Macaca fascicularis: one gene and its partner. The protein of the gene in region 1 binds, or shares a complex with, the protein of each later gene. Links are inferred from orthologs where the notes say so. Each region holds a gene or a part of one and is shown on either strand. Other genes may lie near its edges.

Region 1 (5,393 bases):
TTTAAAAAATTTATATCTTTAACGTATATGGAATTTATTTTGGTGTACTATGTGAAGACGAGTATACTTAATTGTTCTCGAAGAGCAACAAGTATTTAAGCCTCATTTATTGAGTGATTTTTCATTTCCTCACTATTAGTCTGTTCTCATGCTGCTAATACAGACATACCCAAGACTAGGTAATTTTAAAAGGAAAAATTTTTTTTTTTTTTAAATTTAGACGGAGTCTCGCTCTTGTCACCCAGGCTGGAGTGCAGTGGCACGATCTTGGCTCACTGCAGTGTCCGCCACCTGGGTTCAAGCTTCTCATGCCTCAGCCTCCTGAGTAGCTGGAATTTCAGGCACCTGCCACCATGCTTGGTTAATTTTTGTGCTTTTAGTGAGATGGGGTTTCGCCATGTTGATCGGGTTGGTCTCGAACTCCTGACGTCAGGTGATATACCCTCCTTGGCCTCCCAAAGTGCTGAGATTACAGATGTGAGCCACCGCACCCTACCAGGAAAGAGGTTTAATGGACTCTCAGTTCCATATGGCTGGGGAGACCTCACAATCATGGCAGAAGGCGAATGAGGAGCAAAATTATGTCTTACATGGCGACAGGCAAGAGAACTTGTACAGGGGAACTCCCATTTATAAAACTATCAGATCCCATGAGACTTACTACCGCAAGAACAGTAGGGGTAAACCGCTCCCATGATTCAGTTAAGTACACCTTGCCCCACCCTTGACACAGGAAGATTATTACAATTCAAGGTGACATTTGGGTGGGGACACAGCCAAACTATATCACTCACTGTTTTGAAATATTACTTTTAACATATATTAAATTTCCGTATATAATTTAGACCCTGTTTTTGGGCTAGTACTATACAGTTTTCATTACTATAGTTTTACAAGGCTACAATACTTTATGAGAAACCTTGCAGGTCAGATGTGATTTTGTAGTCAGGAATTTTTTCCAGTAATACTTGGTGGGCATTATGTAGTATCCAGTAATCACACACATTGTTTTCTTAATGAAATGTATGAAGTCACACTATGTGGGATACATATAAACAGTAAGTAAGCTCGGGTCAGGTCCAGTTTTGCTGCTAGATGAGTTAAAAGGAAAAACTTATTTTCAGAGCTTTTTTGATTTTTGCAGTACAAATAAAGAATTACGGATTTGTAATTTATCTTGCTGTTGAGGGCTGTTTTCCTTCTTTGTTCATCTGTTTTAAATTGTTTGGTTACTCTTGTATCTTTACTCTCCATTTGAATTTTAGAGTCAGTTTGTCGAGTTACTTGAAAAATCCTTCAACACCTGTGAAAGGAAGGGATCTACAGCTGGTTAGCAAAATCCTGTAGAGATTTTTCATTGGGATTGTGCTAACTAGTTGGGGAAGAACTGAATCTTAACAGTGTTTGTCTTCTCGTCCATGAACACAGTTAACTTTTCTTTTGTTTAGATGTTCTTTTATGTCTTTCAGTAAGGTTTTAGTTTTTTTCCCCCAAAATGCTTGTACATTTTTGTTGATTTATATCAAAGTGCTTTTATGGTTTTGCTGCTGTTGTGAATAGGATTTAAAATTTCTTTTAAATTAAAAACTGCATTTTCTAGTTGTTACTGTTGATTTATACATGAAAATATTGAAATTATATTGATATTGAGTCTGACCAGTTTGTTGAGTTCTGTTATTCTAATAACTTATCAGTTGATTATCTTGGGTTTTCAGTTAGAAAATCATATATTCAGACATTGATTTTAATCTTTTCCTTGTCAGTCTTTATACTTCTTGTTTTTTTTTCTTTTTCTTTTTCGTAGAGACAGGGTCTTGCTATGTATCCCAGGTTGGTCTTGAACTCCTGGCCTCAAGCGATCTTCCTACCTTGGCCTCCCAAAGTGCTGGGATTATAGGCATGAGCCATTGCACCTGGCACTTTTTGTTTGTTTGTTTTCCAGTTGCATGGTATGTTTTCAGCATTCAGTTTTGAGACATCTAAAATATCTCTAAAATATTGTTTACTATGAAGTACCTTATGCTGTAATCACATTCTGAATGCCTGAGTAAATACATGGTAGAAGGGCTAGATCTTCTTTAAGTGGGGGTAGTGGAACGTTTCTGAGAAGGGAAATATTTATTATTGGAGGATTTAATGTGTGATCTTTTCGTTACAGATATGATGTAAGATACTTCTTCAAGATTGGACAGCTGGGGACCTTCTTCTAATTAACCTTAAACCGACTTACAGCCATAGAGACACCTCACAAAGTTCCCATTTTTCGTTGTTGTTGATTTTTTGCTTTACACCTTTTCTGACCTTGCAACCATGTATGGAAGTGCCCGCTCTGTTGGGAAGGTGGAACCGAGCAACCAGAGCCCTGGGCGTTCACCCAGGCTTCCACGTTCCCCTCGCTTGGGTCATCGTCGAACCAATAGTACAGGAGGGAGTTCGGGAAGCAGTGTTGGAGGTGGCAGTGGGAAAACCCTTTCTATGGAAAATATACAGTCTTTAAATGCTGCCTATGCCACCTCTGGCCCTATGTATCTAAGTGACCATGAAAATGTGGGTTCAGAAACACCTAAAAGCACCATGACACTTGGCCGTTCTGGGGGACGTCTGCCTTACGGTGTTCGGATGACTGCTATGGGCAGTAGCCCCAACATAGCTAGCAGTGGGGTTGCCAGTGACACCATAGCGTTTGGAGAGCATCACCTCCCTCCTGTGAGTATGGCATCCACTGTGCCTCACTCCCTTCGTCAGGCGAGAGATAACACAATCATGGATCTGCAGACACAGCTGAAGGAAGTATTAAGGGAAAATGATCTCTTGCGGAAGGATGTGGAAGTAAAGGAGAGCAAATTGAGTTCTTCAATGAATAGCATCAAGACCTTCTGGAGCCCAGAGCTGAAGAAAGAACGAGCCCTGAGAAAAGACGAAGCTTCCAAAATCACCATTTGGAAGGAACAGTACAGAGTTGTACAGGAGGAGAACCAGGTAAGTTCTACGTGTGTGTTTAACTGTATTGGCTGAATTCATGTATGTAAATGAAATAGCCTTTTTTTTCCCTTTTCCTAGATTCTTCCCTTCGTAGTATATGTATCTTCCTTTTTCCTATTTATTTTACTATTTTGTGTCCTCCATTTCTCAGCCCTTTCCAAATTTGGTCCTGTGCCCTGTTTTTTTTTCTAGTTGCCCATGTCTGCTTGCTTCCATTCTTGCTTGGTTCTTTTCTCTGGTTTCTGTTTCTCTTCGTGTCTTTCCTTTCAGCATATGTGATTTTTTTTTTTTAAATTCTTCTGAGGTTTTAATTTTGCCACACACTGTAATATCTTTTACCAAATGTATTTAGACTAGGTAACTTAAGTGTAAGGTATACCATTAAGATTTGTCATGATGTCAAAAAGTCATTCTTAAAAACAAAACAAAATGACTATCACAAGATAAATCAGTGTTGTCAGCTGAGAACAGAAATTACTTTTAAAGAGTTAATATTGGCCGGGTGTGGTGGCTCACACCTGTAATTCCAGCACTTGGGAGGCCGAGGTGGGCAGATCATTGAGGTCAGGAGTTTGAGACCAGCCTGGCAACATCGTGAAACCTCGACTCTACTAAAAATACAAAAATTAGCCAGGTGTGATGGTGTGTACCTGTAATCCCAGCTTCTAAGGAGGCTGAGGCAGGAGAATCACCTGAACCTGGGAGGCGGAGGTTGCAGTGAGCTGAGATCCTGCCACTGCACTCCAGTCTGGGGTGACACCATGAGACTCTGTCTCAAAAAAAAAGAGTTAATGTTGATGATGTGTTTATTAAGTATGAACAATAACTATCCATTTTGTTGCCATTCATGAAAGTTTACCTTCAGGATGCTTTTGTAGCTTTTTGTTCTTTAATTCTTTACATTTAAGGCAGAGGAAAGGCGACCTGGTGTGATTGTTTGCTTGTAGAAAATAAGTGAGATGATTGGGCTTTATCATCATGGGGCTTTGCAGTTTGAGAGCTAAGTGCCGTCACATTAGCTGCAGGAAATACTCACTTATTTTTCTGTGCTCCTCCAGGTTACAGTTGATGTGTTTGGTGATAGCCATGTCACATTCAGTGAGGAAGCCGATGACTCCAAAGATGTGAACAAATCGTATTCAGGCTCTACCAGTTAAAATGTTAAACATACTTTTTTGTTTTTGTTTTTTTTGAGACAGAGTCTTGCTGTGTCTCCCAGGCTAGAATGCAGTGACACAGTCTTGGCTCACCGCAACCTCCACCTCCCAGGTTCAAGTGATTCTCCTGTCTCAGACTCCTAAGTAGCTGGGATTGCAGGTGCCTGCTCCCATGCCCGGCTAATTTTTGTATTTTTATTAGAGACGGGGTTTCACTGTGTTGGCCAGGCTGATCTCAAACTCTTGACCTCAGGTGATCCACCTGCCTCGGCCTCCCGAAGTGCTGGGATTATAGGTGTGAGCCACCATGCCCGGCCCATACTTTTTGTTTAAAAGACTTTTAGAATTTTTCTCTCTTTACTTTTTTTCCCCCTATGGTGCAAGTTGTGTGTACTTTTAGAAGTTTTCTTAAACTTGCAAGCTTGAATTTTTTTCCTTCTTAAAAAAGCTGTCTTATACTCTTAAAAGGAGAATATTTAATTAACTACCTCATTGTTGGTATTACACTTTATTTTTGGATTAGGTTACTCAAAATTATAAAGAAAGCAATTGAAGCCGGGCGCGGTGGCTCAAGCCTGTAATCCCAGCACTTTGGGAGGCCGAGGCGGGTGGATCACGAGGTCAGGAGATCGAGACTATCCTGGCTAACATGGTGAAACCCCGTCTCTACTAAAAATACAGAAAACTAGCCAGGCGTGGTGGCGGGCACCTGTAGTCTCAGCTACTTGGGAGGCTGAGGCGGGAGAATGGCGTAAACCCGGGAGGCGGAGCTTGCAGTGAGCCGAGATCACGCCACTGCACTCCAGCCTGGGAGACACAGCGAGCAATTGATATCAATTTCTGCATTCTTCTTAAATGATACCAAGAAGTAAAGAAGCAATCAGAAATTGTCTGTGTCTCTGATGAAGGAGTCGTCTGCCACACAAAGCTGTTTAGGTCCCTGATGGACCTAATGTGTGACTATGGTCCCATAAGGTTACAATATAGTATTACCAGGTGTGGTAGCTCGCACCTGTACTCCCAGCACTTTGTGAGGCTAAGGGGGTGCGGATTGGTTGAGTCCAGGAGTTCGAGACCAGCCTGGGCAAAATGGTGAAACCCTGTCTCTGCAAAAAATAGAAAAAAATTAGCTGGGTTTGGTGGTGGGCACCTGTACTACTTGGGAGGCTCAGGCAGGAGGATCACCTGAGCCTGGGAGGTCGAGGCCACAGTGAGTCGAGATTGGGCCACTGTACTCCAGCCTGGGTGACAGAG
Region 2 (4,605 bases), about 29 Mb from region 1:
CATAAGTTCCAGACCAGCCTGGACAACATGGCGAAACTCCGTCTCCACCAAAAATACAAAAATTAGCTGGGTGCAGTGGTGCACACCAGTAATCCCAGCTACTCGGGAGGCTGAGGCAGGAGAATCACTTGAACCCGGGAGGCGGAGATTGCGCCACTGCACTCCAGCACGGGCGACAGAGTGAGACTCCGTCTCCAAAATAAACAAATGAATAAAAGAATTTTAAGTAGAACATGGTTGGGCGCGGTGGCTCACGCCTGTAATCCCAGCACTTTGGGAGGCTGAAGCGGGTGGATAATGAGGTCAGGAGATGGAGACCATCCTGGCTAACACGGTGAAACCCCATCTCTATTAAAAACACAAAAAATTAGCCGGGCATTGGTGGCGGGTGCCTGTAGTCCCGGCTACTCGGGAGGCTGAGGCAAGAGAATGGCGTGAACCCAGGAAGGAAGGGGAGCTTGCAGTGAGCCCAGATCACGCCACTGCACTCCAGCCTGGGCGACAGAGCAAGACTCCATCTCAAAAATAAAAAAATTAAAAATAAATTAAAAAAAAAATAAAATAAGAGAATTTTAAGTAGAATATTAATAGTGGTATGGAACCTAAAACAAAGTTCTCCTGGAATCCATCTTTCCCACTGCTGTCAAGCAGGGAATAGTCCTACACACTGGCTGGAAGGCTAGAAATGTACCATAATGAAGGAACCAGAGTGGAAGTCTAGCCTTCCTCCCGCCTCCTTTAACCCCAGTTAACTCCTGCTGTAGCAGAACCGGGCTGAAGTGAGACGGGTGATAGGGTTTCAGGTAACAGTTGTCCAGAGTGGAAAGGTAGGGAGAAGACAAGTCCTGGAAGATGTCAGGTCAAAAGGGTGGGCTCTTCCAAATGGTCACTGCACATAGAAACGCATAACTTAGAAACAGCTTGGGCTTAAAAACTCTATATTCTATTTAAAAAATATCTTTGGGCTGGGCGTGGTGGCTCATGCCTATAATCCCAGCACTTTGGGAGGCCGAGGCAGGCAGGTCACTTGAGGTCAGAAGTTTGAGACCAGCTAGCCAACGTGGCGAAACTCCGTCTCTACTAAAACTACAAAAAAATTAGCTGGGTATGGTGGCATGGGCCTGTAGTCCCAGCTACTCAAGAGGCTGAGGCATGAGGATGGCTTGAACCTGGGAGGTGGAGCTTGCAGTGAGCTGAGATTGTGCCATTGCACTCCAGCCTGGGCGACCGTGCAAGACTCCATCTCAAAAGAAATAAAAAAATATATATATATATTTTTATGAGATATAATTTACATACCATAAAATGTACCCATTCAAAGTATACACTTCAGTGTTTACATTGTTGAATGTATTACATATAAAATCAACTTTCTGGAGAGCTTAGTTTAAATTAGGCTTCACTTAGCTTAAATTGGGGTTTCAAATTATCCCAAGGCTGTTCAGTCACAATCACCAAATGCTACAACTTCAACTTCACAGGAAATATGCCCGCCACTCTCCTCAAGTTCAAGCAACAGCTTCAAACTCTGGTGTAATCACTACACTGTGTTTGGCTTACTCAATTTCTGCATTTTTCGAGAAAAAAGTTTTCTTCCCCCAAACCCCAGGAGTGAGTCACTTACAACAGTCATGTAATGTAGCATTCGACCATCAACCCGTCCTTCATCAAACTGGGTCTTATATTGAGGGAGGCCAATGTCATCCAACCATCCTAAAAGAGAGAGGCCAGTGTTGCTACCGTGCCACAAAACACCTGTTCTTGTGATTAAAAAGAAAAAGCAGCTCTGTATATAATTCTTCCATTTTGTTAGAATAAAAACTTCTTACTAGTGACCCAGTTGAAATCCAGCTTCCCGTGATTGGTTTCTTCTTCAGATCCCAGGGCTTGGAGTGCCAGCTGGAGTTTCTTTCGATGAAGTGAATGCTTGATTCCAAGTTCCTGAAACAATAAACATTGACTTTATAATTCTATCTATATAGGCTGGGTGCCACTGGCAAAGGATGCAAATTTCTCCAAAATGAAGCTAGCACTAAAGATCCAATTCAATACTAAATGACAATCCTAACTTGCGCTAGTAAAGTGCTGTTGAACGAAGGTCCCTGAAAAGCCAAGACCACCACAATTAGCTTAGGGGCGTGTTAGGCATTCCCTAGTGACTCCTTTTCTTTGTAAGCTAGGAACTGTAGCATGCATAAAAAGAATTTGACCCTTATTTTGTGCAAAATATTAAATAATTGTGAAGAAATGTTAAATAATTAGACATAAATTGTAGGGTGCTTTTTTTTCCTTTTGCAAAGTGCATTGCATATATTACACTGAGAAAATAGGCCAATGATAAAGCCATATAATGATTTCAAGAAATATGAACTTAATTATGCTTATGTAATTATTTTTCATTAAAATGCCCAATGGCTTAAGTGTTCCATAAGGAATCATCAAGACCAGGTCCTCCCAAGACCATCAGAAAAAAATAAGCATGAAGCAATTGAAAACCCAAATTTTTATTTAGAGAGTATTTACTGGCTTCACTCATGGCCTTTTCTGGACTATAAAACAACCCTACATTCACATTGTCTTCTTCTCAGTATCCATTGTGTGAACAAAATAGAGAAGCAGTCACCTTCTCTAGATCTTGTTGAGAAGCCTGCAAAAGCGTTTGGCCAGATGCAATCCAGTGCTTGCCAGAATTCAGGTAGGAGCCCAAGCCCTGTTCCATCAGCCAATTGCAAACCTGCTCCTTGGTCCACTTGGCAAATGGCATATCCAAGTCACTACAGGAAAATGAGTAATTGCATGAAAAATAATCCAAAGCCAATCCTGTGGCTTATCATGAGTTTTAAACAACTATACATTCAATAGACATGGACATTCCCTGGTGATACACATTTGACCACGAAAAGCTTAATTTTTAGTATACATTGGAGGAACAACTGGTACTGGAGTTGAAAGTTATCTTCTAAGACCACTGTCTCATTTCAAATGAAACCACAAAAGATTTAATGTGACAGAGCAAGAACAAGTTCTACAGAAAAAGACTAAATTGGAAAAACGTAAGTCACTGTATCAGTTTCAACCAATGTTGTCTGAAGACTGGATTCCCAAACAGGAAACTCAGTTGGAGTGAAAGAAACTTAAGTCTAATTTGAACTAACTTTAGCAGAATTATGGTTTATTTCCATATGGTAACCAATTAGAAGAGGGCAATATGTTGTCACTAAGTGTAGGAAACAATCAAAGCAAAATTCCTGTTTTCTTTTACTTAAGATACACAGATAGTGTTCTTGTTCCGCGGTGGGGACAGGGTGCGGAGGGGAAGATGAATGTGCTTTTTTTAAATAGCACAAGGAGCTCTACTGTGTTCAAAGACAACATATGGCAAATGAAACTGTTTGGTATTTGAAGAAGGCCAAAGAGGGTTTCCTCCTTGATGTAACCTATGTCCAGTGTTCCACCTGTATGGGAGGGGCTGTATTTAAAGGGTTTCTAGTCTATTATACTGTTAAAATATTTGGTATCAATGCCTTGTACTTTATGTTTGCCAACCCCACCCTTTTATACACAGTGAGTCAATGTAGCAGTTCTAAGCCAGCCCTCAACTTTGGTAAGAGTGTCAGAGCAGTTCTTAGAATCTTAATGGATAAAATATTATATAGTCCTGATAAATATAAGGATTCTGATAGAATTTTTGTCTCTAAGTACTTTCATAGATTCTGTTATATACTAATGTTTCTTGAGTAGTTACTATCTGCCAAATATTTAACACATACTAACTTACTTAATCTTCACAATCAGCTTTTGGAGTAGGCACTAATTATGAATGATGAGAAAACTGAGACACAGGGCCTGGAAGCTGTTGCTCAAGGTCACCCAGCTGGTAGAAAGTGGTAAGGCCAGAAAGCAAATCCAAGTGGTCTGATCTAGAACATACTCTCATGTAAATATCCCATCTTTCCAAAGCTATGCTTTAGAGTACTTATAATTACCGTCTATGTAAAATTTAAGTTTCAGAGCCATTCTAACACAGATGCTGCTGACACTTTAGCTCTGGCCTCTCCCCTAGTTCACACAGCCCTCACCTTCTGTATGTTCATCAACCATTGACAAATTGCACTGCTCTAAAGATGATGTCCCCTTTCACTAGGCACAGCATTAAGCAATGACTTTGTTTAACCCAATGACAGTACTAACACTGCAGGACTCATGAGGCTATGATGCTTGGCAGAGATGCAAAAGTCTATCAGTTGGCTCTTCTTACTTGTTAGACTGTCCCAAGTCTCGAGACCAACCCAGTCGGGGTCCCGCGGTTGCCCTTGTCCCTCCTCTTTTGAATTCAGGCTCAGACATGTCATCTGGGTTGAATGTAGTTGATTGACTTCTCCTAAGTCTGAAGAAGACATAACACACATGGCCAGTATTAGACCTGAGGAGGCCTTAGGCTTGTTAATCAGAGAATTTTTAACTAGTGCAGCTACCGGAACTAATCTTCTTTGTGTCATTAACATAGACATTTAAATTTAAACTTTAACTAAGACCCAATGAGTTAATAAATCCCACATCATAATCCAAACTTCCTTCCATAAGAGGAATACAAAGGCCTTACAA

What was found. Proteins that work in one complex are often made in the same cells at the same time.
Region 2: ERC1 (region 1) and liprin-beta-1 share a complex: the UniProt entries of both Homo sapiens proteins name them as parts of the cortical microtubule stabilization complex. The link is inferred for Macaca fascicularis from reciprocal best matches to the Homo sapiens genes ERC1 and PPFIBP1.

What each region holds. Positions count from the first base shown.
Region 1 is NC_088385.1:1,802,397-1,807,789, forward strand, and holds the start of ERC1 (ELKS/Rab6-interacting/CAST family member 1), read left to right. Parts: upstream 1-2,210; 5' UTR 2,211-2,310; coding exon 2,311-2,979; intron 2,980-5,393. Other genes in the region: uncharacterized protein, read left to right, coding at 2,159-2,210. UniProt on the Homo sapiens protein: Regulatory subunit of the IKK complex. Probably recruits IkappaBalpha/NFKBIA to the complex. May be involved in the organization of the cytomatrix at the nerve terminals active zone (CAZ) which regulates neurotransmitter release.
Region 2 is NC_088385.1:30,424,005-30,428,609, reverse strand, and holds part of liprin-beta-1, read right to left. Parts: intron 4,388-4,605; coding exon 4,259-4,387; intron 2,775-4,258; coding exon 2,624-2,774; intron 1,942-2,623; coding exon 1,830-1,941; intron 1,714-1,829; coding exon 1,625-1,713; intron 1-1,624. UniProt on the Homo sapiens protein: May regulate the disassembly of focal adhesions. Did not bind receptor-like tyrosine phosphatases type 2A.